Elephas maximus indicus: one gene and its partner. The protein of the gene in region 2 binds, or shares a complex with, the protein of the main gene of each other region. Links are inferred from orthologs where the notes say so. Each region holds a gene or a part of one and is shown on either strand. Other genes may lie near its edges.

Evidence for each region.
Region 1: the proteins of CNNM2 (region 2) and ARL15 are in contact, whole or in part, in a crystal structure (PDB 8F6D), measured with the Homo sapiens proteins. The link is inferred for Elephas maximus indicus from reciprocal best matches to the Homo sapiens genes CNNM2 and ARL15. Residues at the interface, in NP_060119.3 of Homo sapiens: Asn490, Val492, Pro521, Leu522, His523, Phe524, Val525, Phe526, Thr529, Glu537, Lys542, Ser543, Gln549; in NP_061960.1 of Homo sapiens: Tyr92, Ser94, Arg95, Gln98, Gln128, His129, Pro130, Gln131, Cys133.

The regions. Positions count from the first base shown.
Region 1 is NC_064820.1:57,613,757-57,628,642, forward strand, and holds the start of ARL15 (ADP-ribosylation factor-like protein 15), read right to left. Parts: upstream 6,409-14,886; 5' UTR 6,298-6,408; coding exon 6,250-6,297; intron 1-6,249.
Region 2 is NC_064834.1:54,434,224-54,449,703, forward strand, and holds the start of CNNM2 (metal transporter CNNM2), read left to right. Parts: upstream 1-7,491; 5' UTR 7,492-7,680; coding exon 7,681-9,301; intron 9,302-15,480.

The DNA of each region.
Region 1 (14,886 bases), on a different chromosome or scaffold from region 2:
GGACAGCACAGGATCGGGCAACATTTCACTCTGTTCTACACAAGGTCACCATGAATCAGAGCCCACTTGGGGGCAACTAACAACAACAGAACAATTTGAGGTACATCATGAGTTTCTGTTCTTGGTTGGTTAGTTAGTTTATAGCCTGTGAATGGTGTTGGATTTGTGTTGATTCATCCACCTTCTCATGATCTTCCCCCACTGAGGCAGACATATTTATTATGACAGGTACAGCCTATGACCAACAAACTAGGCCAAGTTCACCAGGCTAGTATCAGTTGCCATGGAGCCAACTCTTGACTCATGGTGACCCCATGTGTATCAGCGTAGTTAAAGGTGTGTGCGCCACAGGGTTTTCAATAGCAGATTCTTCAGAAGTGGATCACCAGGCTTTTATTCCAAGGCACCTCTGGGTGAACTCAAACCTCCAACCTTTTGCTTGGTAGCCCAGCGCATTAACCATTTGCATCACGCAGGGATTCCTAACCAGTCCATCAAGGAAAAAACATCTAGAACTCAGACCTTTTTTTTTTTTTTTGCATTGGGCAAATCTGCTGCAAAAGACCTCTTTAAATTATTAATAAGCAAAGATGTCGCTTTGAGGACTAAGGTGCACCAGACCCAAGCCATGGTGTTTTCAATCATCTCATATGCATGCAAAAGCTGGAAAATGAATAAGGAAGACTGAAGAAGAATTGATGCATCTGAATATACCATGGACTTCCAAAAGAACAAAAAAATCTATCCTGGAAGAAGTACAGCCCGAATGCTCCTTAGAAGCAAGGATGCTTGGACATGTTACCAGGAGGGACCAGTCCCTGCAGAAGGACATCATGCTTGGTAAAGTAGGGGGTCAGCAAAAGAAAGGACCACCCTCAAGGAGATGGGCTGACACAGTGGTTGCAGTGATGGGCTCAAGAACAGCAACGAACGTAAGGCTGGCCCAGGATAGTGCAGTGGTCTGCTCTGTTGTATACAGGGTCACTATGAGTCAGAACCAACTCAATGGCACCTAACAACAACAATAAATTCAAGATTAAACAAGCATTTTTACTTGTCACATTCTCAAGTCTAACGTTGCATTTTAGTTCATAATAAAAAAAAATAAGACATATAAAATATGAGAGAAAAATACCAGAAAGCAAAGAAGTGCATCACAAGCTGCCATCCTCCCTTAGGTGCCCTGCCTGACCTGCCCTGCCACAGGTCCCCGTACAGCCATGCTCCAGCCAGCCTTGTGGCCAAGAAGGACGTCATAGGTAGGGGTTCATCACCCATGACTTTTAGGGTCATGCACAAAGCAGGGGTTCAATAAATATTTGTTCAGTGGATTAATGAAAATAACAGAATGAAGACTTATTTTTATAGGTACTAAACAATCCTCATGAGAGTCTTATGATTTCCTGCTTGTTGATGACCAAACCCCAATCTTTCCATATTTTGAGAGAATAGTTTAAAAGGTAGCCTAATACTTACCACTGAGTGGCAGTAGTCATTCCATGGGAGGCATAAGAATAACATCAAATACCAGCAATAAAATCACAATACATGAACATTTTATATTTCAAAAGCAATGTGTTGTCTATAAATCACTTTCTCATTTAATCATCATAGGCATTATACGGAAATATACCAAATCTTATTGCTGTTTTTTTGATGGCAGAAGGGGGAAAAAGGTGAAATCCAGAGCAAACCAACCGTAAGTCAAGAATAAAAAGAAACTTATGAACTGAAAGGAACCTCGTTGCTGATCTTGTCCAACCTCCCAGGAAAACCTGGTTAAACATGTTTTTCTCTTTCATTATAACTGGACTATGTTCTCCTACCTTATTCAAAAAGCTCTGCACATCATCTTACTAATTCTACCTGTCAGAAGAGAAATGGAGCAAGATGCTGGTACTGCCTGTTAGAACAGCAACAAAACCTTTCCTTTCAGGCTTGACAGGTATGAACACGGCCTTTAAACCTCATTATGGAGAAAAAAAAGGAAGGGCCGGTGTGTGTTCTCCTAGGAAAATTCCTTTATCAACTGGCAAAAAGAGATCTTGATTTTTAAATTGCCACCCAGGCTAAACAAATCACATCTGATAATCTCAAAGTTAAGAGTAAAGAATACCTTCTGCATTCCACAAAACCAAACGCCTAATCCAAATAGATTTTATCTTGGCTCAGTTTAGAAGCTGGTGAGAAAAAGTAGAATTGTCCCTTCATGTCATATCCATTCAGTTCAACAAATAAATGTCCTACCACGCGCCAGTACCATGCTAGGCAGGCGGTGGGTGATACATGTAATTATTTAGGATTAGCCAGTTACCACATATTTCCCTGAACTAAATGCATTAAAACAAAAGTTACCATAGAGTCGATTCCTACTCATGGCGATCCCATGTGTTCCAGAGCAAAACTGTGCCCCACAGGGTTTCCACAGCTGTGACCTTGAAAGTAGATCACCAGGCCTTTCTTCCTAGGTGTCTCTGGACAGATCTGAACCACCAACCAGTTGGTTAGTAGCCAAACAGTTAAAAACCCTGTCTTAAACATTAAGGGACTGTCCCTCACTTTATCTATCATCTCTAAAGAAGAGTACTTCTTTTAAGTTAAGAAATCAATAGCAACCTCTGAAATAGATTCTTCATCTGTTTTAGGATCTCAATCCTATTAAAAGCTGTTAAAAATAGCACCTCCATCTTTCTCTCACTTTTCTTCCCTTCTGCTCTCCTCCACATGAAAAGGTTAAGTGATGATATCCAGTCCAAAGAACAATGGACAATGCATACACAAAGCTCCCTCCTTCAACTTCCAACAGCAGCAAGAAAGTCAAACACGGATTTAAGAAAAAGAAGACACACACCATTATTCCTGTCAAGTGTATAAACAGGGCACTTACTCTAGTCCACAAACTCAGCAAAATCTGAAGAATCAAACTTGTAATGAAAAGAAGCCTTTTTTCTAAGTAGTAAGTGAAAGAAGTACAGCCAGAGCCCTCCTTGTAAACAAAGATGGCGAGACTTCATCTCACATACTTTGGACATGTTATCAGAAGGGACCAGTTCCCGGAGAAGGACATCATGCTTGGTAAGGTAGAAGGGTCAGTGAACAAGAAGAAAACCCTCAATGGCATGGACTGACACGGTGGCTGGAACAATGGGCTCAAGCATAACAATGACTGTGAGGACAGCGCAGGTCTAGGCAGTATTTAGTTCTGTTGTACACAGGGTCACTATGAGTGACTGACTTGATGGCACCTAATAACAACAAGTAAAAGAACCTGGGAATTAGTTTAACTCTAAAATAAGATCACAGATACTGTCAAATAAGTTTTTATTTTTCAGAAATGGGTTTTTCATAACCATCATAAAGGTTCTGCATGAGGAAACAAGTCAATCTGAAAGAAGAAAGCAATGGTCTGTGGCATATCATTTTCTCTGAAAGTTAGTAGGCAAAACGTAAATACAAAAAGATCACCTCAGGAGGAGTGTTTTTGTTTGTGTGTGTTTTTTATTTTTTCAGTCCAATCTCAGTTAAAACTGGGCTTAATGCTTAAGGATCTTCTTAAACCTTTTGATATGAGATACTTTGCACACTCAAACACTGAACTGTTTCCTTTATGATTTATTTCCTCACCTCCAATAATCATCCAAATAATGCTTTGTTGAAGAAGAACTGACACATTTGAATTAGGGTATTGGCAAAGATATACTGTGGCCTATAGAAGAATGAACAAATCTGTCTTGGAAGAAGTATAACCAGAACACTCCTTAGAAGTCTGGATAGTAAGAACCTCTCATGTACTTTGGACATGTTTTTAGGAGGCACTGATCTGTCTTGGAAGAAGCAAGGATGCTCTTTAGAAGCAAGGATGGCAAGACTGCGTCTCACATACTTTGGACACGTTGTCAGGAAGGATCTGTCCCTGGAGAAGGACATCATGCTTGGTAAAGTAGAGCATCAGTGAAAGAAAGGAAGACCCTCAATGAGATGGACTGACACAGTAGCTGCAACAACGGGCTCAAGCACAACGACTGTGAGGATGGTGCAGGACCACAGGATCAGTTGTATGAGGGGTCACTATGAGCTGGAAATGAGTCCATGGCACCTAACAACAACATTGCTTTGTTATTTTTTATGGGAATGTTACACCACACTTGTCATTTTTTTAAAAAAGCAAAGTTAAGGTAACAAAATAATGATTTTTTAAAACAAGCTAACCTAGTGTGGGGGGCGTGACAGGTAAAACACGACAGAATGTCAAGTTTGGGATCCATTATTTTGACACCAAACTGATAGTAAGCTGGCAAAGAAATTAACCTACTTTTTGGGTAAACTGGAGCCCCACAAACATTCATCTAAACCCTGGTGGCGTAGTGTTTAAGTGCTACGGCTGCTAACCAAAGGGTCGGCAGTTCAAATCCACCAGGCCCTCCTTGGAAACTCTATGGGGCAGTTCTACTCTGTCCCATAGGGTCGCTATGAGTCGGAATCGACTCAATGGCACTGGGTTTGGCGGTTTTTGGTTTATCTAGAGGTTAATCTGAATAATTAACCAGTGTTTCAATATTGTTTTCACTAAGTGTTTTGGTAGGTTTGGCACCTCAAAGATAGCTTTGATGCAATTTGTACATTTAAAACACACTTAGTGCAAAAAGAAATTAATAAAATGATCAGAACCACTTGATTTTCTCTTTAGGAACTAAGTATCCAAAATTAGCTTTGAATAGTAGGGGTAATGTTGCTCTTTCCTACTCGGCAATTATCCTCAATAATTTTGGCTTTAATTTGGGCATAGCGCTGTATTTTACAAGACAAGCTACAAATTAACCAGTTATTTAACTTAGAAAATAATCTTTCAGTCACATTAGGCAACTCTCTTAACCTACAGGGCACTTTACATTTTACAGCATGCTTTTTATCAGATAATACGCTTAATGGTAGTGGGTGGATACCGTCCCTCTATCACAAACAGACGAAGTTAGTGCCATCACCAAAAGAACAACAAAACAGAATTTGAACTCGGAATTTTTGACTCTGGTGAGCGCTCCACCTACAAGGTCAAGTTTTAACTGCAGTGATGATCCTCCCTCAGGAGAGCCATACAGCTTTAGGGGAAACATATTCTTCATGTAAACTAAAATAAGCCCAAGTACACTTAACAACACTACAAAGCCAGTCATTGTCCAACATTCCTTTATCAGGAAAGCATCCACAGTCTTTCTTAGTACAGCCTAAAGTGTAATTCCTAGAAGGCACTGGCAAATCTCTGCCAGGCCAGCCTGCAGTAGAAAACCCGTGCATGTGTCCAACAAGATGACAGGAGGGCCAGTGTTTTTAACTCTGCTTCAACTCAGCCTTGCAATAGCGGTTCTGGCTCACACGGTAAACATAGTAATTGCATAGGATTTGACACAGCCAATGTAAATGCCGATTCCCTTGACCACAGACATGCAGCTCTGGGGAAATATAATTTCTGGAACAATACATGGTACTTGCATAATTGCACAAACGCACAAATCATTTTTTAAAATAATGTTCAGTCTCAGCTCTGCGCTGACACTTTTCCCACCTAAACTTCTCAGTACAAGCCTGGCCTAAAAGCACACTAGGGACCCAATCCATGCACGGGGTAAAAGCAGCATGCACCCACGATCTGAGCCGAACGGTGGGACAATGCCTGCCCAGTCCTGTTCTGGCCGGGTTGCGATGGAGTTTACTCCCGTCTACTTTATGGTAATGTTCTTTTAAAACCCCGCCGCGACCGAGGTCATAGCTTTAGGGATCTAATAACAACCAAATGACCAAGGCTGCCAGGCACTTAGTGAGCCATTCTGGTTATAGCTCTTTAATAGTACCTGGAGTTCTGCTGGAGGGAAAGCGGAAAACTCCTGCTTCCCCGGAAAGAAGTCCCTTACGGGGAGAGCAGAGTGAAGCAAAGACACCGACCGCGGGCAGACGCCCCGCCGCCGCGGCCCCATCTCCCCGGCAGCCCCAGTGCGACCCTCGCCCCGCAGCCCGGCTGGCCCCGGCCGCACCTTTACCTGTCAGTCCCACCATCCCCTCTATGCTGCTGCCCCGCGGCCCCGACGGCCGCCTCTCCGAGTCCCGGGCACAGCTTTTCAGCTGGCTGCAGGAGAAAGAACCCCAAAGGCATCCTATCCCAAAGAAAGAAAAGCAAAGAGGCTGCTCCTCCAGGCGGAGGGACATGGGGCACGTCGGAAGCTGAGAGGCGACATGCCACCCCTGTCCCGCACCTACCAGATAATCCATGTACAGAAACGCCTCAGTTATTCGGAGATCAGACATCCGGCAGTCTAAAGCATCCGGAACGGCTCCGAACCCGGAAAAAAAAAGGAGCGTCTCTGGCTGCGAGCAAGCAGCCCCTGAAAAGCCAGCAACAGCGAAAATAGCCGAGAGCAGCCGAGAAGACGAAGATTACACAAGGGGCGCGGCGATTGGCCGGTCGCGCGAGAAGAAGGAAAGGCTAGTGCTGATTGGCTGCGGGGCCTATAAAAGGCAGGCCAGTGCGGGGGGCTGGAGAGAAGCGCGGGAGAGGCGACGCTGCTTGTCTCGGTTCGGAGGGTGCAGGGCAGGCGTAGGGCGGCGCAAGCCGAAGAGCCAGTCGGGAAGAGCGGAAAATCGGCAGGTGCTGCCACCGCCGGAGTTGTGTGTGCTTCTGTAGCCTCCTGGTTAGATAAAGCGTAGCAGAGCTCTGTGCTCCTGTACCAGGGAATCTTGGAGTCCCTTCCAGCCCTCCCCAGTAGGAAGCAAGCGTTGCAATGTGGGAGGCGAGGTAGCCACAGACACTTAATGTCTCTTTTGGCAGCGCTTTCTTAAAGGCTCTGCCGTCGCGAAACGGGTACTGCCGGGACGAGAAGTGTGGAAGAGCGTACTTCGTGAACAGGCAAAACTGTACGGGATTCGGGACCCGGAAGACTCCGCCTCACCTTCGTCTTGTGAAACTGCTAAGGCGGACAACTGCTGCCTGATGTCCCTGGGCGTGCACACGCGACACACACAGGAGGCGCCCTCTTATCTGAACTCCAGACTGCCGCCTGCCTGAGAACTCTGTCCACCATGTGAAAGAAAAAAAGTTTAGGGATTCACTGTTGTCAGTTGTAATTCTCAAACACTTGGGAAGAAGAACTCATCAGTTTTTGGCAAGCTTTAAGTCCAGTTACACTGAGCACAAATACAACGCCTCTGAATAAAAGGAGCAATAGAAAAAGAAGCTCTCCGAAAAGATCCGAGTAAAGTAACACTTGTGACCCCATGTCATTTTAAAAGGTAAAAAAAATATGTATGGAGAGATGCACTTGAGACTTGTGCGTTTCTTTAATAACTGGGAAACTGGCATTGGGATTTCACTAATGCTTTGAGCTGAATCAAGTAAGAAGCTGAATAAGAACACTGGGGCTTCAGTATATGAACAACTACACTATACCAGACAACATGCAACATAACAGAGTGAGGTGATTACAGTGACCCTAAGGCGTTAAGGAGAATGGAGGAGAAGGGGATTGCTCTCATCTGTATTATAATTAGAGCTTCCATACAATAACGTTTCAAGAATGAAACATCAACTAAAACCTTTCTGAAGTGATCGCCTGATTGTTTAAATGTTGTTTTACCCACAGCCATCCAGTGGATTCCAATTCATAGTAACCCCATTGAGCTTCTAAGGCTGTAAATCTCTATGGAAGCAGATTGCTATATCTTTCTCCTGCATAGCGCTTGGTGGTTTCCAACCAACGACCTTTAGCTTAGCGGTGGATCACTTTAACCACTGTGCTACCAGGGCTCCTGACACCTTCCCTTTTTGTATCCCCAGGTAATGAATTTCCAGAGAATAGGTTTGTCTGGGGCTGCCAAAGCCATTCTACTTTTAAGTAGCAGTGGAATTTGCCTAACCATGCAGATAAACCAGGGAGAGTGCAGCCCCTTAGAAAGAGCACAAGGTTGATGAGCCACCTGACTTTTGAGTATGTTATCTAATCTCTCTGAACCTCTTTCCTCAACTGAAAAATGAGAATTCCTACCCCCAGGGTATTTTTGAAGGAACTAGAAGACTGAATATACACAGCACAGAGCTTGGTGTAGAGTGGCTTTATGCCTATCAAGATTACTTTGTTGATTCAATTTACAGATAAGGATGTGTGTATAAATAAAATACTTCTGAAGAAATTCTAAAAGATCTTTCCCCCTATGCAGGCACTAACTAGATTTAATTTTCATTAAGCCGTGAGACCAAATTTTGATTTTTCTTGGCATTCTGTTGTTAAACACGTGCAGGTTTAGAAGAGGTTGTGACCTGGATTCTGGAAATCATGGATTTCCATAAACCCACAGACTTCAGGATGGTACAAATGGTTAAGAGCTGGACTGCTGTATGACAGGTTGACAGTTCAAACCTACCCAGAGGTGTCTCTGGAGAAAGGCCTGGCGAGCTGCTTGCAAAAGCCTTGAAAACCCTACGGAGCAGTTCTACTCTGCACACATGGGGTCGCCACGAGTCAGAGTCCGTCTGCAACTAATAACAACACAGCCTTCAGTACAGTTGGTTGAAGCTACTGTAATTGCAAAAGTTGTTCTCTCATACTTGATAGCAAAAAATAATTCAAACAGAAAAGGAAATTGTTTTTCCTTCTCCTTTCCATGAATAAAACATATTGTTAGTAAGATAAAGGGGGCAAGCTAGCAAAGAGACACCTTTTGGTCTGTTGCCTTAGTGATGAATGATGTCTTGACTACTGCCAAGTCAGAATTTTGAGAGGCCTGTCAGTTTATGCAGGGGAAGATAACCATTCAGGGGAAGCTGGCTTCTGCCTTTGCTTCAAAAACTGACCTTAAAGAAAGACAGTCCTTCTAAACAGAATGTCATTAGGTGTCTTAGTCACCTAGTGCTGCCATAACAGAAATAGCGCAAGTGGATGGCTTTAACAAAGAGAAATTTATTTTGGTAGGTTACAAGTCCAAACTCTGGGTGACGGCTCCTGGGAAGGCTTTCTTTGTCAGCTCTGGAGGAAGGTCTTTCTCATCCATCTTCCCCTGGACTGGGAGCTTTTCTGCTCAGGAACCCTGGGTCTAAAAAATGTACTCTGCTCCCAGTGCTTCTTTCTTGGTGGTATGATGTCCTCAACTCTGCTTGCTTCCCTCTCCTTTTATCTCTTGAGAAATAAAAGGTGGTGCAGGCACACCCCAGGGAAGCTCCCTTTACCTTGGATCAGGGAGGTGACTTGAGTAAGGGTGGTGTTACAATCCCACCCTGATCCTCTCAAAATAAAATTACAATCACAAAATGGAGGACAACCATACAATACTGGAAATCATGCCCTAACCAACTTGATACACACACATTTTTGGGGGGACATAATTCAATCCATGACATTAAGCTGCACATTGTTCATTCTGCCTCAGAAATTAATAAATGGGCCCAAAACAGGGAAATGAAATAGTTTGTGCAAGGAAAATTCCAGAGTCTACTCCACTGTTTTTCCCTTATTCTATACCATTTTTATGTTCATTATGACTGACATCAAGGAAATTTTTGTGTTTGATGTAACTATTAAAAGAATTATAGATTGCATTTTGGAAGTGTCCTTGTAAAAAATCTGTAGTTTCAAAACTGCATATGGAGCACATTTTCCAGTTAGGTGTTAATCTTCTGGGCTGTTAATGTTTTTACCCTTGTGCAGAGGAAAGAGGCTAACTTGATTGTGTTGGCATGAACAGATGATACACTGCACGCTGTGTGAAGCAGCTGTCTTAGCTGATCTGTTGGTAGCTACAGCAGCCTGGTAATCACTCTAGTGTAGACTTTAAAAAAAAAGAGAGTGTACGGTGGTTAGAGTACATTCATTCAACCTACTAAATGCCAAGTAATGGACTGTCATCTTGAATAAGGCTTGATCTCATTTACCTCGACCTGCCCTTGCCTGGTGCCAAAGAAAATGTGTGTAAATTCATGGGGCAATTGCATTATTAAGCCTCTACTGACAGAAAAGCAGTGGTTGCACATGAGGTCCATTAGCCAGGTGAGTCTCCCACACGGAAGGTAAGAATTGTACCACTGAACCATCACTGCCCCCAGTCTTTCTTTGCCTCTCTTTTATAAGGACACTTGTTACATTTAGGCCCGTAGAGAAAAGCCAAAATCATCTCTTTCCCCATGCCAAGATGCACAGCTTAATCACATCTGCAGAGTCACCTCGCCATACAACACTTGATGCCCTAGGGATTGGGCCATCTACGTATTTGGGAGCCGTTGTTCAGCTACCACACTGATCTTATCATGATATGCAGATAAAGCACATACCTCCCTGAAAGTCCAAAGTGGCAAGCACACTATGAATACCTAAAGAATCAGAAAAGTGGGGATAAACTCTCGATCTTAGAAAGAATTAGATTTCTTAAAAATTTTTAATGCAGTCCCAGGACCCTTTGTAACCCTCTTTATACAATCCAGTTACTTCTCTTCTGACAGGTGAGTAGGATTATCGTCCCAAAGTGTGTCATCTCCCTCTATTGTACTTTTGGTCTCCACTTCTTTTGAGCACTGTTATGGATTGAATTATGTCCCTCCAAAATATGTGTTGTTAATATGACTGTGGTTATAATCCCATTTGAGAATGAGTTGTCTTTGTTATACGAGGGTAAGCCAAAAAGCATTACTACAAAATCATAGAAAACTTTATTGAACAAAAATATCAAAATGTGAAGCTATTGTTTCTCAGCATATCCTCCATCTAGGTCTATACACTTCTGAAGGTGAAGTTTCCATCTCTCTAACCCTTCCCGGAAGAATTCTGCATGTGACTATTTACCATGTCAAAACAGCAGTTTTGGCATCCTCAAAGGACTCAAATCGTGTTCCTTTTAAATGTTCTTTGAGTTTTGAAAACAAAAAAGAAGGCTGAAGGAGCAAGATCAGGGCTGTAGGGTGGACAGGGTAAGGTTTCCCAATGAAATTCTCATAGGACAGTCCTTGCTACCCTTGAAGAATGAGGCGGTGCATTGTCCTGATGGAAAAAAAGCCCTCAGTGCAAACTTCCTGGCCTTTTTCTCACCAATGCAGTTTTCAGTGTTCTTAAAACTTCTTCATAGTAAGTCTCTACGATTGTCCTGTGTCCTTTGTAATCCCAAAAAACAGTCGCCATAAACTTCTGAGCAGTCTTCCCTCTCTTGACTCATCTTTGAGGTCTTCCCAACCTTCCTTAAAATGCTTGATCCATCTAAAAACTTTAATGTGGGCCAGCATACCCATAAACTTGTTGCAAAGCTTCAATGATTTGAAGAGATGTCCACCTGAGTTTTGTTAAAAATTTGATAATAGCCTTGACCTCAAAATCGTTTTTTCCCATGACACAAAAAGTATCCTTTTTTTTTTTTTCTGAAGTCACCCTGACGAGACTAAGACAAGTATATTACTGAGAAAACTTGTCTGCAACCATCCACTGATCACGGAGACATGTTTAAACATGTTTTGTTTGGAATAAACCCATGCATGTATGAACTGGAATGCTAGTAACAATACTTTTTACTTACCCTCGTATTAATGAGGCAAGATTAGTGTAGGGTGTACCTTGAGTCAGTCTCTTCTGAGATATAAGAAAGACTAAACAAGTGAGCAGAGGAGAGATGGGCTTAAGATAGATTCCAAGACACATGGAGGTGTCCAAGGAACCAGGAAGCAGGAGCTAAAGTGACAAGGACTTTCCTCTAGAGCTGACAGAGAGAGAAAGCCTTTACCTAGGGCTGGCACCCTGAATTCAGACTTCTAGCCTCCTAAACTGTAAGAAAATGAATTTCTGTATGCTAAAACCACTCATTTGTGGTGTTTTTGTTATAGCAGCACTAGATAACACAAGACAATCACAGCCAAGGTTTTAACTTTTTTTGAGACCCTCTCCTCTCATTTCCTTTACTTCTTTGCCCATAGCTAAAGTTACTACTTCATAACAATTTTTTTCTAGACCAACTGGTTTAAATATGAATATTATTTCCTTCCTTCAACATTTAACTGTGGATTTCTTATAAACAAACAAACAAAAAAAAAACTATATACACACACACAAACTCATTGTCATCAAGTCAATTCCGACTCATAGTGACCCTATAGGACGGAACAGAACTGCCCCATAGGGTTTCCAAGGAGCAGCTGGTGGATTCAAACTGTCAACCTTTTGGTTAGCAGCCAAGCTCTTAACCACTGAGCAACCAGGACTCCGATTTCCTTATAAAGAATTTTATTTACCTGCGTATTATAGTCTGATTAGTTCTTCACTCTCCACAAATTCTTGAACTCCATTAATAACCTTTTTTTTCTATTCCAAGCTAAACATAGAAAGATAAAATCTCCAAAAATATTTTGATTGTACAGTGCTTTATTGTGGTTTTGAACCTTCTCTGGGATGAAACATCTGAATTGCTTTATCCTGCATGACAGGGAATACCATGCCAAATTTTTTAGAAGTATTTAACCAAGATTCTAAGCCCTATTTGATAACCAGTTTACAAAAAATCAGCAAAGTAAACGAGAAGAATCAGCTATGTATCTTCAATGGATTATAAAATACATATTTCTTTGATGGTGATTTATTTCAAAAAATGAAAAAATTACCATTTGGAATATAAAGGTGCTTTGGAGACTGAGATGTATCACATACAGTGTCATATTGCAAGGCCAATTTTGATTTTTAATAATCAAATCTTAAAAACCAGTTCATGCTGGATTCAAAGTCAGTTTTAATGAGATAGCTTATAACATACCCTTAGTTCCTCTGAACTAACAAAGAACACATTAGGAAATGAAGTCCAAGGGAATGACATTTAATATAGTAATGCCCCAAGGACCTGAATAATTTAATAAAGATCTAACCATTTCCTTTTTTCTAGAAAGTAGAGCTCACCAAACTGACTTGCCTTCCCTAATGACCTGAAGAGGTCACTCATAACTTTTACATTCTCACAATTGATAATCCATAACATTCCTGGCATATGATATATGCTGTTTGCACTATTTCATCCTTTTTTCTGCATTCCTTTTCTTCCCAGTTGACCTTGGTAGGAACTACTTGTGTTCATGTTCCTGCAGGTTTAGTTCTCCAGGAAGCAAAAGATTCATTAAGAAGTAAAACCTGTGAAAGAAGAGACCCAGGATTGGTCAGGGGGCACCAGAAGAACATTTTACAGAACTGACAAAGTCTTTATTGGCCTTACAGGTAGCTCCAAAGATTGCCCATTAGAGCAGTCAATATGGGACAGAAATGGCTAGACTGTTATACTACCACCTTGCTTAGTCATTGGTTGGGGCAATCCCAAGAAGAGAAAAGCCCAACTTTGGCTCCAAGGCTGAAGTAGAGCCTAAAGAACTGACAGCTAAGCACACTCCTCAAAATTAGGCAGGGAGTCCTTTCTTGAATGATGCATTGTCATGTCTGCCACACCTGTGTTTCTGAACCTCCCTTGAAAGCCTGGCTTAGTGCTTTACATATAGCCCTTGCACCATGTCTTACGCAGGGTTCTCTAGAGAACCAGTGACGTGTGTGTGTGTGTGTGTGTGTGTGTGTGTGTGTGTGTATTTAGAAAGAGAGATTTACTTCAAGGGATTGGCTCACAAGATTGTGGGGACTGGCAAATCCAAAATCCATAGGTCAGGCGGCAGGCTGGACACGTATGCAGGCTATTGTCCTAAGATCCATAGGTCAGGCGACAGGAAGAGTGCTACTATAGATTGAATTGTGTCCCCCAAAAATGTGTGTGTCAACTTGGCTAGGCTATGATTCCCAGTATTGTGTGATTGTCCACCATTTTGTCATCTGATGTGATTTTTCTGTGTTGTAAATCCTACCTCTATAATGTTAATGAGGCAGGATTAGAGGCAGTCATGTTAATGAGACAGGGCCCAATCTACAAGATTACCTTGTGTTGTTGTTGTGAGGTGCTGTCCAGTCGGTTCCAACTCACAGCGACCCTATGTACAAAAGAACAAAACACTGCCCAGTCCTGTGCCATCCTCACAAATCATTGTTATGCTTGGCTTTCAGCCAAGATCCATCTGATATCAGGCAATGATATCCTTCATTCACCGTCCTCTTCAGAACCCGGCTTGAATTTCTGGCAGTTCCCTGTTGATATACTGCTGCAATCTCTTTTGAATGATCTTCAGCAAAATTTCATTTGTGTGTGATATTAATGATATTGTTTGATAACTTCCACATTCTGTTGGATCACCTTTCTATGGAATGGGCATAAATATGAATCTCTTCAAGTTGGTTGGCCAGGTAGCTACCTTCCAAATTTCTTGGCATAAATGAGTGAGCACTTCCAGAGTTGCATCTGTTTGTTGAAAGATCTCAATTGGTATTCCATCAATTCCTGGAGCCTGGTTTTTCCACCAATGTGTTCAGCCCAGCTTGGACTTCTTCCTTCAGTATCATCAGTTCTTGATCATATGCTACCTCCTGAAATGATTCAATGTTGACCAATTTTTTTGGTACAGTGATTCTGTGTTCCTTCCATCTTCTTTTGTTGCTTCCTGCATCATTCAGTTTTTTGCCCATAGAATCCTTCACTATTGCAACTCGAGGCTTGAATTTTTTCTTCAGTTTTTTCGGCTTGAAAAATGCCGGGCGTGTTCTTCCCTTTTGGTATTCTAACTCCAGGACTTTGCACATGTCATTATAATACTTTACTTTGTCTTCTCCTTTCAAATCTTCTGTTCAGCTCTTTTACTTCATCATTCCTTCCATTTGCTTCCTTTTGCTACTTGATGGTCAAGAGCAAGTTTCAGAGTCTCTTCTAACATCCATTTTGGTCTTTTTTTTCTTTCCTGTCCTTTTAATGACCTTTTGCTTTCATCATGTATGATGTCCTTGATGTCATTCCACAGATTGT
Region 2 (15,480 bases):
GTACCAATATTGCTGTACAATTAATTTTTTTTTTTTTTCTGAAGATCATTCAAAAGCAGTTGCAGCAGTACATTGACAGGGAACTACTGGAAATTCAAGCCGGATTCAGAAGAGGACGTGGAACAAGGGATGTCATTGCTGATGTCAGACGGATTTGGCTAAGAGCAGAGAATGCCAGAAAGATGTTTACCTGTGTTTTATTAACTGTGCAGAGGCATGTGACTGCGTGGAAGAACGGGAATTTCTGAACACTGAATTGTACTCATGAGGAACCTGTACATCGACCAAGAGGCAGTTGTTAGATTAAACAAGGGGATACTGTGTGGTTTAAAGTCAAGTAAGTTGTGCATCAGGGTTGTATCCTTTCACCATACTTATTCAATGTGTATGTTGATCAAATAATCCGAGAAGCTGGACTATATGAAGAATATGGCATCAGGATTGGTGGAAGACTCATTAACAACCTGCGATACGCAGATGACCCAACCTTGTTCACTGAAAGCAAAGAGGACTTGAAGCACTGACTGATGAAGATCAAAGACTGCAGCCTTCAGTATGGATTACACCTCAACATAACGAAAACAAAAATCCTCACAACTGGACCAGTAAGCAACATCATGATACACAGAGAAAAGATCAAAGTTGTAAAGGATTTCATTTTACTTGGATCCATAATCAACACCAATGGAGGCAGCAGTCAAGAAATCAAATGACACATTGCATTGGGCAAATATGCTGCAAAAGCATGTGAAAGTTGGACAATGAGTAAGGAAGACTGAAGAAGAATTATGTCTTTAAAGTATGGTATTGGCAAAGAATATTGAATATACCATGGACTGCCAGAAGAATGAACACATCTGTCTTGGAAGAAGTACAGCCAGAATGCTCCTTAGAAGCAAGGATGGCAAGACTTCATCCACATACTTTGGACATGTTCTTAGGAGGGACCAGTCCCTGGAGAAGGACATCATGCTTGGTCAAGGAGAGGGTCAGCAAAAAAGAGGAAGACTCTCAAGGAGGTGGATTGACACAGTGGCTGCAACAGTGGGCTCAAGCATAACAATGATTGTGAGGATGAACCAGGACTGGGCAGTGTTTTTTCTGTTGTACATAGGGTCCCTATGAGTTGGAACCAACTTGATGGAACCTAACAACAATGTATGTTTATTATATGTCAAAAATTTTGAAAGTTTAAAAACGTCTATCAGTGGGTGACCTATATAACCAGGAGTCCAGGCCAACCTGGGAAACCTGATGTTTGTGCTAAGATTCACAATTATTACTACAGAGACTGCAGCAGCAAACTGAGGGTGTGGTGTCTTATCTTGGTTTTCTGGGAGTTCCTGTGGCGTTATCTGTTTCATTGTCCTACATGTGGCTGGAGAAGTGGTATATCCCTTAGTCCTAATTGTGAAGGTCAGTCCAAGACGATAAAATGAGAAAGTGCATTGTAAACTGTGAAGGCGTGTGTCTGCTTTGAGTGGCAGGAGTTCCCTTAACCTCCTTAGGTTATTAGCACGGCCCAGCATCACTGCACTGGTACCTGTCAGGTTAATCTTCCTATTATACAGTTCTTCTGTTTGAAACTTTTTATAGGTCCTGGGTTCCTACAGAACGAGCTCTGGTGGCATGGTGGTTAAGCACTAGGCTGCTAACCAAAAAGGTGGGTAGTTTGAACTCACCAGCTACTCTGTGTGAGAAAGATGTGACAGTCTGCTTTCGTAAGGATTACAGCCTTGGAAACCCTATAGAGCAGTTCTGTTCTGTCCTATAGGGTCACTACGAGTTGAAATCGACTCAACAGCAATGGGTAGAGGTGCCTACAGAATGAAATCTAAACTCCTAAACTTGGCATTCAAGGCCCAGCACAAACTGACCCCAACCAGCTTTTCAACATTATTCCTGCTCTTCTTTGTAGGTCATAGGGCCAAATTCAACTACAGCTTGTTTCAGAAATGCTGCTCCCTTTCCAGCCTCACCTCACACTTTTCCTTCCATTAAAATATTTTTTCCTTTTATCTCTCAATCGCTTCCTGGAATAGCTCTTTGTAAAAACGGCATCGGGGCAGAGTTTGACCTCCTCTGACTTCACAAGGAGGGAGGGGAACCAAGATCAACAGCACAAGGCTGACTCCCATGAGGTGGAGGCCAGACAAGCCTGCTCTCTCGGCTATCTCTACCAATTCTGACACCAAGTGTTCTTTCCACAGCAGTTTCTACTGGGTTTGATAATTCATTGTAACGGCTATGCAAACCATACTCACAACCATGAGGCTTATTAGGGAAGCAACAGTTACAATTCAAGCTCAAGAACACTGGGGATACAGGTGTTCCGTCAGGATAGCCTCACCTCAGCTGTGCTCACAGACATGCCTCTCCCTGGCCCTCAGTCTCTGCCCAAGGGCACTCAGCTTTCTCTCTCCACAGGCCAAGAAGCCCACCACGTTGCCGGGTATCTCCTGGTCTCTCCTTCCTTGGTGGTCGTGGGCCCCCCTTCTGCTCTGGGATTGGCTCTCTTTTAAGGCAAAACTGACCAACCCTGTTGGTAGTCCACAATTACCTTATCACACAATCACCTGAGTGGGAGTTACAAGACCATGGCTAGAAAGGCCACACACAAAAGTCATTAATCACACTGCTGTCTTATGTCTGCATATCTAAAACCTACCTGTTCTTCAGGGACAAGCTCAAAGACCATGAAGCTTTCCTCAGTCCTCCCTCTTTATTCGTACTTCCTTTTAAGATATTTGATGTTGTACTCTGCATTATGTAGTTGTTTATGTATACATTTCCTAAACTCCTTATTAGTAAGTTTCTGAGGTACCCTCTGATTCAAGACTGTAGCTTCACCATGCCCAGCACAGTGTCTGGAACTTACTAGATACACAATATATTTTAGTTTAATAAATGAATAAATAAAAGGGGGAAAAAAAGAAATGGGGTGGGAAATAAAATACAAATGTATTTAAACTTAAAGAGGAAAACAGTTAATGTGGCGTTAATAAATGGGGAGAAACAAATCTTCAGTGATTTTTAAAAATAAAACAAACAAATACAATAGATATCTCAGAGGAACTAAAAATAGGAGCAGAATTTTTTCCACTGGGGTCTGACATTGTTTTTCTATGCATGGGGATTATTGGAATAGAATTTTAGCTTCAGAGGATGTGGAAAAAAGACTTAGGGAATGAACTCAGCTGGTATGGGAAACCTGGTATTTTATGACTAAAGTAGTAATCATAAGCTAGATTGCTGCTACCAGATCTATGCAGATTTGAAACCTATGGAAGAACCCAGAATTGGACATTCAGGACCTATTCGTTCTCCTGCAGGTCCTTCTGAGTTACCATCCTCTTGTCGGAGTCTTCCTTGTCTCCCTTCTTTTGATCATCCCCCCCAAATGTTTTTTAGACTTTTGAATAAGCAGTATTCACATGGTTCAACATTTAAAAGGTATGGAAGTGAAAATTTTCCCTACAGTCATGACTTGTGTTGAGTGTTATTTATAGTAACAGTGATCAGAACCTTTCTTACACCTTTGTTCAAAGCTGAGACAGAGGCTGGGACAGAGAGGAAGACTGAGACAGAATGAACATTCTAGAAAATTCCACAGCTCCAGGGCCTGGCAAACAGTAGGCTTTTAGCTGCAGAAATGTTCTTCTCTGACTAGTGGAGAAGGATCAAGGAAGAAGGGGAGAGATGGAGTGGGTGACAGCCCAGTGCTCAGGAGATCTCTTAGGGCCTCGCCATTGGGGGTTCAGGAAAAGCCAGTCCCACGGAGAAGGGTGCCAGGATGTGAGATGCTCTCCAGCTCCCAAGGCCAGGCCTCAGTGGGATACTGCACCTTCAGGGAAAAGGAGGAAACTAGGTGTCTTTGTAGAGACAGAAGAGGGAAGAAGTGACCCATCATGGGCTAGCAAAGAAGATCAGCAAGGCACTGGGGAAGGGTGGCCCACCAGGTGGCTCCCCTTTCGCTACTTCCCATTTGGGCACCTGAGGGCCCAAGACTTGGAATTCCCTGGAAGGGTGGCACCCAAGGAGTGTGGACCCTTGTCAAGGGAGGAAGCTTTCCTCACAACTATGTCAAAAAGCCATGTTTTCCTTTCTTTCCCAGTAACTATGTCCAGAAAATATCTAGAAAAGGATGGAAATGGGAAAGCCCAAAATAAAAAGCCCAAAAAGTTCTCTAGAGGAGGTAAATGGCATCACTGGCTTTGTTCTGTTTTATTTATTTGCTAACTGTTGTGACAAATGCTTTTTTTAGCTAAAAGAGTTCTATATATTTAAACAAGTAGGCAGTGTTGCTTCTGAGAAATCCCTCTCAGGGCAAACAGATTTGACCCTTCGCAAAGTTTGGGTAACTCCTGCATTTGCTTAGTTCCTGTGTTTCCTCAGAAGACCTTGTGCTTCGGTGTGATTAAAATTTCACTCAACTCGCTTACTTTGGACACATCATCAGGAAAGACCAACCATTAGAAAAGGACATCATGTTTGGTAAAGTAGAGGGTCAACAGAAATGAGGGAAACCCTCTATGAGATGGATTGACACAACAGCCAAAACAATGGACTCAAACATACTAACAATTACGAAGATGGCGTAGGACGAGGTAATGTTTCATTCTATTATACATGAGATAGATATGAGTTGGAGTTGACTCCATGGCATCTAATAACTACACTGAAACAATTAATTTTGAATACTTTTCCACAACTAGGTAATTTTCTGGAAGAAAAAAAAACTTCTCTATAAACTTAGAGCTTTAGGTTGAAAAACAAAATGTGTCAGCTATTTGGTGTTCTACCTACGATCTTTAAAAGTCTTCTAGAGACTTTTAGCTCTAGACGTAGTACCTTCCCAAGTCCCTGAAACCGCAGATTTAGGAGCTTATCCTTTGCAGATGAGAGAATTTAACAGTCACTCTTGCCCTTCCGAGTTTCTAGTAAAGGACTCTGGCAAGAGAGGGTTAGGTAGGGAAGGCATTTGCTAGGAGGTTTGGGCTTTATCTGAATGACTTGCTCAAGGTGAGACAAAGTCAGGGCCTAACTAGGATTAGACATCTGCAGCAACCATTCAGCAATCGCCATTCAAGGAGGCAAAATATGATCAGAATCCAGGGTTTTTGTTGACCCCTCCTCCCCCCGGGATTTAAAAAAAGATCTTTAAAAGCATGTGTGGACCTTGTTTTGTGTTCATACAGACAGGTTGGGAAGCCCCCAGAAGTCATCAGAGCCTGCACCAGTGCCCTGCTTCTAAATTGCTGAATGCCACACTTCCCTGACTGTTCTTTCTCTGAAATGCATAGGAAATGTCTGTAGGTTTGGCAGGCTCTTCCCTTCCCCCTCTTCTCCACCCTCCTGTTCTGAAAGTGTCTGTTCAGCACTTGAGAGCCTTGATCATCCTCTCAGCTCCCTTAAACACACTTGTTCTCATTTTTGAAGAAGGTAAAGTGGTTTCATTTCCAATCAGCTGACTTTAACCTTTGTCAGATATCCTTAAAAATGCCATTTTTTCCCCCAGACTTCCATAATGCCACTCTTACAAACAGGTGCCAAGTCAGTGAATCTGGTTTTCTTCATCTGAACCTCTTTTTCAAATGTAGTTGTATGAAAATTAGGGGTGGTGGAAGCAAGGCTAGAAACGGAAGAGACATTACTTGAAATAATTGGAACAGAAATTCTTTCATTTCTTTAACATCTACCAAATATTGTTTTGAATGCCTCCATTGTTCTAGGCCCTGGTGATATAGCAGTCAACAAAACAAGACAACATCTTTGTTTTCAGGGAGTTTATGTTCTAGTGGAAGGAGATGGACAATAAACCAAATTAATAATTAGAAAGCTCCCTTTGCTTTGAAGATAAAAAAGCAGACATGGAGTATACGGAGTATGGCTTGCAAGGTTAAAATAAGATGGTTTTAGAGTAAAGCCCTGAAGGAGGTGAACTAGCAGGCTATGTTGCCATCTGGGAGAAGAGACTTCAGGCATAGAAAACCAGCAGGGAGTGCAAAGGCAGCCCCGGAGTGACTGAGAAACAGCTGGAAGGGCATGTTTGGAGCAGCAGGTGATGAGGTGAGAGAAGTAAGAGGAGGGAGCAGACCCTTTAGGGCCTTGTGGGATACTGTGGGTACTCTAGCTTTTACTGTAATGAGGTGGGAAGCCACCGTAGAGTTATGTGATATAACAAGACCAGCCTGGTTGCTGGATTGAGGAGAGAATGGGACAGGTGTAGAAGAGGTGCCACTGCAGTCATCCCTACCAGAAATCAATCAGGAACATTTGTTTACAAGAAGGGGAGATAATGTTCTTACAGAATATTAAAAAAAAAAAAAAAAGGCGGGGGGAGGGGGAAGCTATTTTTTGGATGTTTACATTGGGAGAAAAAGATCAATTTGGGAGTTACTCTGCTGCTGTCTCCTTCAGAAGCAGTGGGGCTGGGAGTCACGGGGAGTTAGGTCTCTGTTTTGTTTTTCCCAGAGGGAACTATGAACCTAGCAGGGTTTGGTCAGTGTGATTGAGAAGGCGCCTTTATGGGTTCGTTTGGGATGTCTGTCCCTTCTCATTTCCCAGACTTGCCAGGGTGCTTGTTAAAAATAGATTTCTGGCCCTTTCCCCTTTAGTATGGGATGGGATCCAGGAAATATGTACTTTTATCAGGAATATGAGGTGATTCTTAAGACTAGAAAGTTTGGGAAACTGCCCCACTCTAACTTTCTAACCCTTTCGGGGTTTGCATCAGACCTGGAAAGCACTGCAGGCTGCCCGTACGGCCGGCAGGTGGTGCCACTTGATCGCGAGCCGTGGAGCTCGCGCGTCCAGGTAGGGGGAAGAAAGGCGCGAGAAGAGGCGGTCCGTGGCGGTGCAGGGGCCTCCGGGCCGCCGCTTATCCCGTGAGGAGCTGCGTGCACAGGTGGTGGAAGGGGGCGCGCGGGGTCGCGGCCGGTGCCCTGCTTTCATTTGGGATTTACGTGCGCTTTAAGCTGTCCCAACTCAAATCTGATTCTCGGGCACCGGTGGCAGAAAGGCGCATCCGCTCTGCACCGGCATGATGTCCTGGGTGGCCAGCAACCGGGTGCAGCGAAAACCGGGGTCCTCGCACCGCAGGGCATCAGTCCAACCAGGCCAACAGCAGGCGCGGGGATCTACTACTGAGACCCCTCAGCGAGCGCCAGCCCCGTTGACGGCTTCTTTTCATTGGCAACTGGACCAGAGGCCCCGCCCCCTTTCTACAGCTCTAATTTCTGACTGGCTATCGGGCTCCGGCTGGCCACACCTCCTCCCCTCGCACATACACAAGAGTCACGCGCTTTTCAGCTGGAAACTTGGCGTGCTGAGGGGGACGGTGGCAACCCATTTCCCCGCCCGCCTACCTTGCCATTGGTCCGCCGTGCCGCGCACGGCCACGCCCCCACTCCAGCCCCCTGGCTGGGAGGGCGGGCACCCGCTCTTGATTGGCTCGGCGACCTGCCTTTCGCGGGAGCGGCTGGCCCTCCTACCCTCCCCTCTACTCCTCCCACGAGCCTAGGGGTTCCTCAGCTGGCCGAGGCCGGGTCAGTGTCAGTCAGGGAGGCGGACCGCTGAGCACTGGGCGCAGACGCTCTATTGCAGTCTCTCCCAGGGCCGGGTGTCTGCGCTCGCGCCGCCGGGTGGGAAGCATGAAGCCACAGCTGGAGCAGCTACCCCATGATTGGCTGTGGTGCTTGTGAACCCGAAGTAAACATGGCGGGCGGGCAGGCAGCCGCCGCACTGCCCACTTGGAAGATGGCGGCGCGCCGCAGCCTCAGCGCCCGCGGCCGGGGGGTCCTGCAGGCAGCGGCGGGGCGGCTGCTGCCGCTGCTGCTGCTGAGCTGCTGCTGCGGCGGGGGTGGCTGCGCCGCGGCGAGCGAGAACGAGGAGACGGTGATCATCGGGCTGAGGCTGGAGGACACGAACGACGTGTCGTTCATGGAAGGGGGGGCGCTGCGGGTGAGCGAGCGGACCCGGGTCAAGCTGCGTGTGTACGGGCAGAACATCAACAACGAGACGTGGTCCCGCATCGCCTTCACCGAGCACGAGCGGCGGCGCCACAGCCCCGGCGAGCGCGGGCTGGGTGGCCCCGCGCCGCCAGAGCCGGACAGCGGCCCCCAGCGCTGCGGCATCCGCACCTCAGACATCATCATCTTGCCCCACATCATCCTCAACCGCCGCACCTCGGGCATTATCGAGATCGAGATCAAACCGCTGCGCAAAATGGAGAAGAGCAAGTCCTATTACCTGTGCACGTCGCTCTCCACGCCGGCCCTGGGCGCCGGCGGCCCGGGGTCAGCCGGGGGCACCGTCGGGGGCAAGGGCGGCTCCGGGGTGGCCGGGCTCCCACCACCCCCGTGGGCTGAGACCACGTGGATTTACCACGACGGCGAGGACACGAAGATGATCGTGGGCGAGGAGAAGAAGTTTCTGCTGCCCTTCTGGCTGCAGGTGATCTTCATCTCGCTTTTGCTGTGCCTGTCTGGCATGTTCAGCGGCCTCAACCTGGGGCTCATGGCACTGGACCCGATGGAGCTGCGCATCGTGCAGAACTGCGGTACCGAGAAGGAGAAGAATTACGCTAAGCGCATCGAGCCCGTGCGCAGGCAGGGCAACTACCTGCTGTGCTCGCTGCTGCTGGGCAACGTGCTGGTCAACACCACGCTTACCATCCTGCTCGACGACATCGCGGGCTCCGGCCTCGTGGCGGTGGTGGTCTCCACCATCGGCATCGTCATCTTCGGGGAGATAGTGCCCCAGGCCATCTGCTCCCGGCACGGCCTGGCCGTAGGTGCCAACACCATCTTCCTCACCAAATTTTTCATGATGATGACCTTTCCTGCTTCTTACCCGGTCAGCAAGCTGCTGGACTGCGTCCTGGGTCAGGAGATAGGCACCGTCTATAACCGGGAAAAACTGCTGGAGATGCTCCGGGTTACCGATCCTTACAACGACCTCGTCAAAGAGGAGCTGAACATCATCCAAGGGGCGCTGGAGCTCCGCACCAAGACGGTGGAGGACGTGATGACTCCGCTCCGGGACTGCTTCATGATCACGGGCGAGGCCATCCTGGACTTCAACACGATGTCGGAGATCATGGAGAGCGGCTACACTCGCATTCCAGTATTTGAGGGGGAGCGCTCCAACATCGTGGACCTCCTCTTTGTCAAAGACTTGGCCTTTGTGGACCCAGATGACTGTACTCCCCTGAAAACCATCACCAAATTTTATAACCACCCCTTGCACTTCGTTTTCAACGACACCAAGTTGGACGCTATGCTGGAAGAATTTAAGAAAGGTGGGAAATTTTGATATCTTTCATTGGCTCGCTCTTTCTTTCTCCATCTTTCTCCCTACTTAAGTCCTCTACCCTTAGACCAACCCCCCAAGGCGAGTTGACCGGAATTTCTCCTTCTCTCTCTCAATTGTAAAGTTGAAAGGGTGGCGTGGATTTGGGGACGGATTGAACTAGTAAACGCTCCTGGATTCTTTAAAAGCATAAGACTGCCATCAAAAAGCAGGCAGTGTAATTGCTCTGCAGGATACATCTTTTTTTCCCCTGGGTGTCTCAGGTTTTGAGAGGTCTGCCGAGTTTATTTGCCTGCGTTCTGAGTGGGTAGGTGAAAGTAGGGGCCGGCTAATGCCATGCGATGCCATTTGGTTGACCTGCTCTAATCGCAGGCTTTTGGAACATTTAAATAGCTTTTTTAAACCTAGTACACTCATTTTCCTCCTCCTTAAGCCTCGACGTCGATGTTTCAAAGATTGGAAGTGCATTTCGTATTGCTTCGGTTCCTGGTTGTCTGGCGACCTGTGGGGAAGATTTGACGTCTGCCTTTGGGGGGTAGGGGTAGGGTAAGGTGGGTACCACCAAAACAGTTCACTCATTTGGGTGTGACTTGCCTTAGCTGGAAAAGAGATTTTTGAAAATTGAGGTTAGTTATTAATATATAATTTGGAAAGACTAGGGGTAAGTTAATCTTTTAGGAAGTTAGCATGTCTTGTTTAACTTGCTGCATTGTTTGTTTAAATTTACCTAAAACATTTCCCAAACCAAGAGTGATTTTGGCAGAAGCTTGAGCCTTTAACAATGGGATGAATCCCTCAATTAATTGTGGTTTATTTATATCTTGAGTCATTTGGGTCTAGAAGTGTTCTTTTTAACCTTGATCACCTGGTAAACTGAAGTATGTATCCAAGTCAACTGTCTCTGTTCACGGTATTTAACAGGGAAGGGAAGTGCAGAGTCTGATTTGCTTGCCTTTCTTACATTGTACTATTTTTTGTTTGTTTGTTTTACCATGTAATGATCAGGTGAATAACAACTCATGGTGTTATTACCGAAATTCTGCCATTAAAAAGTCCCCAGTAAATAGCTAGTGTTGTTACTTGAAAACCAAGGGATGCTGAAGCTTTAAAAATTGTTATGATGCTAGTGTATGTCAGCGTATCGAAGTGTGTATGTAACCGTTAATGACCTAAGCTTTCCTTCTTCAAATAGATTTTTGATCACCAACAATGGCCTCCCCACTGAAAAAGGCCATGTGTACCTGGTGACAGCTCAGTGAATGTAATGATCTGAACATACGCATAGTGTGTGGTTGCCCTAATTCCATTTTTCTGGCTGGATGATGCCCTCTATTCAACAGGGTCACACTGCAGTAATTTTCAGATAAAGGAATAGAGAAGAATGTGTTTCCGAGGTTGGTGATTTGCATCTGGATTCTTAGGCAGGAAAAAGGAAATGTCCATTTTCTCTAGGTAACAAAGCTTCTTTTGGGAGTGTCATTATTCTTTGATTGCTAAGCTGTTAATTAGAACATCTAGCCAGTCTCCCTTTCTTCATTCATTTTGCAGTAATATGTGTAATATAGAAAGCTAGCTTGAAATGCTTGAAAATTTCTCTAAAATACTTAATTTTCTTTCAATCGCTAAGTTCCAAATGTTGATAAAACAGTTCATTGTCTGATTTTTTATTATTCAGAATTTTTGCATGTGTAATGATGGATTGATAACACTAGTTTGCACTCCTGCTGAAGTCTTTTCTTCGCTTCTGTTTTTCTTTTCAGAATTCACTTATTCACCTTACTACTCATTAATCATGTCTATTCAAAAATACCAAAATTTGCATTATTTTGAAATTTGTTTTTAGTTGTCCTGGAACAATTTTCCTATGGTTGATTTATTTTCATGAGGCCCCTCTTTACCCCCCAAATTAGCTATCTTGTTAACAGTATTTTCTTTGAAATCTAACCTTTAAATAATTGAATTGCTCTTATTTTTCTAAGAACTCTAGACAAGTAATGCTCTGTAAGATTTTATTTTTGTCCTTAAAAAAAAAAAAAGCAGAAGGATATATTTGGCTTCAAAGATAGTACAAGGTAAAGGCACATTCAAGCTAGGGGCATATTCAGAGTAATGGCAAAGACTGTTGGGTACAAATGGGAAATTTAAGACATTATCTTAAAAGGATGGAGTTCATTACTTAAACTATAGGCATAATTGATATATCACTTTCTCTTTCTTGGATTTTTATTTGATGGATTTGATCGCTTTAACCTTACTAACAGCTATATTAGTTCTTTTTCATGTGTGAGTTAGAGTATTTCACCTAATTTTTTTTTTGCTTCTTTATTTTCTAATTCATTTATGAAATAATGTGGATGTTCAACCTTCTATTGTTTTTCTCCATTGAATAACAGCCTGTGTAGTGGTTTGAAGGCTTTTTCTTCTTTTTCTTCCCTCTTTCTGCTGACTTTTCCATTTCCAAAAAACAAAAATAAATTCTACGATACCCCCTGCAACTCCTCCAACTAATAAGATCACCAGTTCAGATCTCATTGAAAATTAACTTTCCTAGTTCAGAATGTGGAAACCGTGGTGGCATAGCAGTTAAGTGCCACAGCTGCTAACCAAGAGGTCAGCAGTTCAAATCCACCAGGCGCTCCTTGGAAACTCTTTGGGGGCAGTCTACTGTGTCCCACAGGATCGCTATGAGTCAGAATCGACTTAATGGCAACAGGTTTGGTTTTTTTTTTGTTGTTTAATTCAGAATGCGTTGAATCCTTTTCTATATATATGCCATACAGTCAATTCTGACTCATGGTGACCCCATGTGTTGCAGAGCAGAACTGTACTTCATAGGGTTTTCAAGGCTGTTGTTACCTTTTGGAAGCAGGTGGCCAGGCCTTTCTTCTGAGTTGCCTCTGGGTAGGTTCCAACTGCCAACCTTTGGGTTAGTAGTCAAGCACTTAACGATTTGTGCCACCCAGGGCCTCTGTTCGTGTTGTTGTTCGGTGCTGTTGAGTTGATTTCAACTCATAGTGGCCCAATGTATGACACAGTAAAACTGCCCACAGGGTTTTCTAGGCTGTAATCTTTATGGGAGCAGATTGCCAGGTCTTTTCTCCTGTGGAGCCACTTGGTGGGTTCGAACCACCAATCTTTCAGTTAGCAGATGAGTGCTCAACCATTGTGCCACCAGGGCTCTTCTTTTTTTATGTAACTGTACATAATTAATCCGAGTTATTCTTTGCTGAGGAGGGAGGAGTAGAAATATTTTGCAGTATGGAAAAAAATGAAAAGCTGTCTTTATAAAAGTATATGTGCATATCTTCTTTCAATGATTAGAGCTTTTTGCCTACCAGAAGACTTTTAACTAACCTTTAGGTTGGAAGACAGTAATTACGCTAGTTTCACAATTAGCATGTTGCTATTATTAATATTGTTATTTACTTGTGCAGGTACTGGCTGAATGCTTTACATGAATTACTTTGTTTAAATCTTACAATGGCTGAATGATGTATTATCTCCATTTTGAAAATGAGGGAATTGAGGCTTAGGTTAAATGATTTGTTCAAGGACATGTAGTAAGTTCTGGATTTGGGGCTTTAACTGAAGTATGTCTGACACCAGAGCTTGAACTCTCAACCTCTATAGTGTACTGGCTCCCTTGTTCCTCATGATACGTTTCTCTTTTACTGAGTGTGAATTTCGGACTTTTGTGAAAAACACTGCAAGAGAAAGATATGGCAGTCTGCTGGCGTAAAGATTTCAGCCTGGGAAATCCTATAGCGTCACTATGAGTTGGAATCAACTGGATGGCAATGAGTCTGGTTTTTGGTTTTGGTGAAAATATTACCTCTGGACAACAGATACAAAACATATTCAAGCATATATGGCCTTAAACCCAGTGCATCTGTGAAGTTATACATAACAGTTCCCATCCCATTGCTGTCGAGTTGATTCCGACTCACAGCGACCCTATGGAACAGAGTAGAACTGCTCCATAGGGTTTCCAAGGAGCAGCTGGTGGACTTGAACTGCCAACCTTTTGGTTAACAGCTGAGCTCTTAATCTCTCTGCCACCAGGGCTCCATGCATAACAGTTGGTGTCCCCATTTTTGCCATTAAAACAAATCAATTTTTTAGCCCCTATGATCCAAAATCAAAGGAATTTTATTTCCAGTTTTTTTCCATGTCAAAGCATCAAGATTCATTTTGAAAATGTTTTATAGTAACATACTGTACTGGCATGCTACTTGAATGGACTACTCTACAACCATTTTTCATATAGCTAAAATATCTTACTCTTGGTTTCTTAATCTCTGTGTGTTGGAAGTGTGACTCAAACTCAGGTTTGTGTTTTGATCTTGATTTTATTTACATTTTTTGTAGACACCTGTATAATAATTGGTTTCTAATGAGCTTCCTTTACAACTCTGCCCCTGTGTACTCCATGCAGTCTCTTTAAATTTTTTTTAAAATAATTTTTATTGTGCTTTAAGTGAAAGTTTACAAATCAAGTCAGTCTCTCAGATAAAAACTTATATACACCTTGCTACATACTCCCAATTACTCTCCCTCTAATGAGACAGCTTGCTCTCTCTCTCCACTCTCTCTTTTCCTGTCCATTTCGCCGGCTTCTAACTCCCTCCACCCTCTCACCTCCCCTCCAGGTAGGAGATGCCAACATAGTCTCAAGTATCCACCTGATCCAAGAAGCTCACTCCTCACCAGCATCCCTCCCCAACCCATTGTCCAGTCCAATCCATGTCTGAAGAGTTGGCTTTGGGAATGGTTCCTGTCCTGGGGCAACAGAAGGTCTGGGGGCCATGACCACTGGGGTCCTTCCAGGCTCAGTCAGACCATTAAGTCTGGTCTTTTTATGAGAATTTGGGGTATGCATCCCACTGTTCTCCTGCTCCCTCAGGGGTTCTCTGTTGTGTTCCCTGTCAGGGCAGTCATCGGTTGTAGCCGGGCACCATCTAGTTCTTCTGGTCTCAGGATGATGTAGTCGCTGGTTCATGTGGCCCTTTCTGTCTCTTGGGCTTGTAATTACCTTGTGTCCTTGGTGTTCTTCATTCTCCTTTGATCCAGGTGGGTTGAGACCAATTGATGCATCTTAGATGGCTGCTTGCTAGCGTTTAAGACCCCAGATGCTACTCTTCAAAGTGGGATGCAGAATGTTTTCTTAATAGATTTTATTATGCCAGTTGACTTAGATGTCCCCTGAAACCATGGTCCCCAAACCCCTGCCCCTGCTACACTGGCCTTCGAAGCATTCAGTTTATTTTTTTTTAGCTTTGTAGTTACTTATAAATCTAAAGATAATAAGCTTAGTAAATCCTACTAAAGGATTCTGAGAATCTTAGGAAAACTGTCTAAAACAAAACAGTGTAGGGAAAGGAAAAGCTAAATTAAAGGCTACTACTTTTAAAAAAAAAAAAAAATTTTTTTTTTTTTTTTTACTTTTGAGTGAAGGATCCCTTGTGGTGCAGTGTTTAAGCACCTGGCTGCTAACCGAAAGATTGGGGGCTCGAACTCACCAGGTGCTCCTCGGAATAAAGATGTGGCAGTCTGCTTCTGTAGATACTCCAGAAACCCTACGGAGGCAGCTCTGCTCTGTCCTACAGGGGTGCTGTGAGTTGGAATCAACCCGATAGCAACAGGTTTGGCTTTTGGTTTACTTTTGTGTGTAGAAAGCACTCTAGAGGTTCTTCACTTATCTGAATACCTTCCTGACAAAGGATTGTGGACTCTTAGCCATCCAGTTGTACACACTAGGGTTGAGTCTGAAGAATTAGTAACCAGTTTTTTTTTTCTTTTAGGTTTACAACAGTTGCATTCCAGTATTGCAGAGCATGCTGGTCTACAGCTGCTAGGGACTTAGCTAGGCTATTTTCTAGCGCTTTTTTTAAGCTAGGAACAGGTGTTATTCTTTAAGAAAGTACTTAAAAGAAGAATGTAATGTACAGTTTTCACTTGAAACATTTGGCATACATTTCTGTCTCCTTATAACTCAGCATGTCTTTCCATATTAACGTCCTGAGAGTTTAAGTTAAAATTTTTTTTTCCTCACCAAATGAAGTGTTCCATTTGCCTAGAATCTAGGAACATTGTTGTTGTTGTTTTTTGTTTTTAATTGTTTAAAGGCATGAATGGTGTCATGGAGAGTGGATATATTTGTTTCTGTGA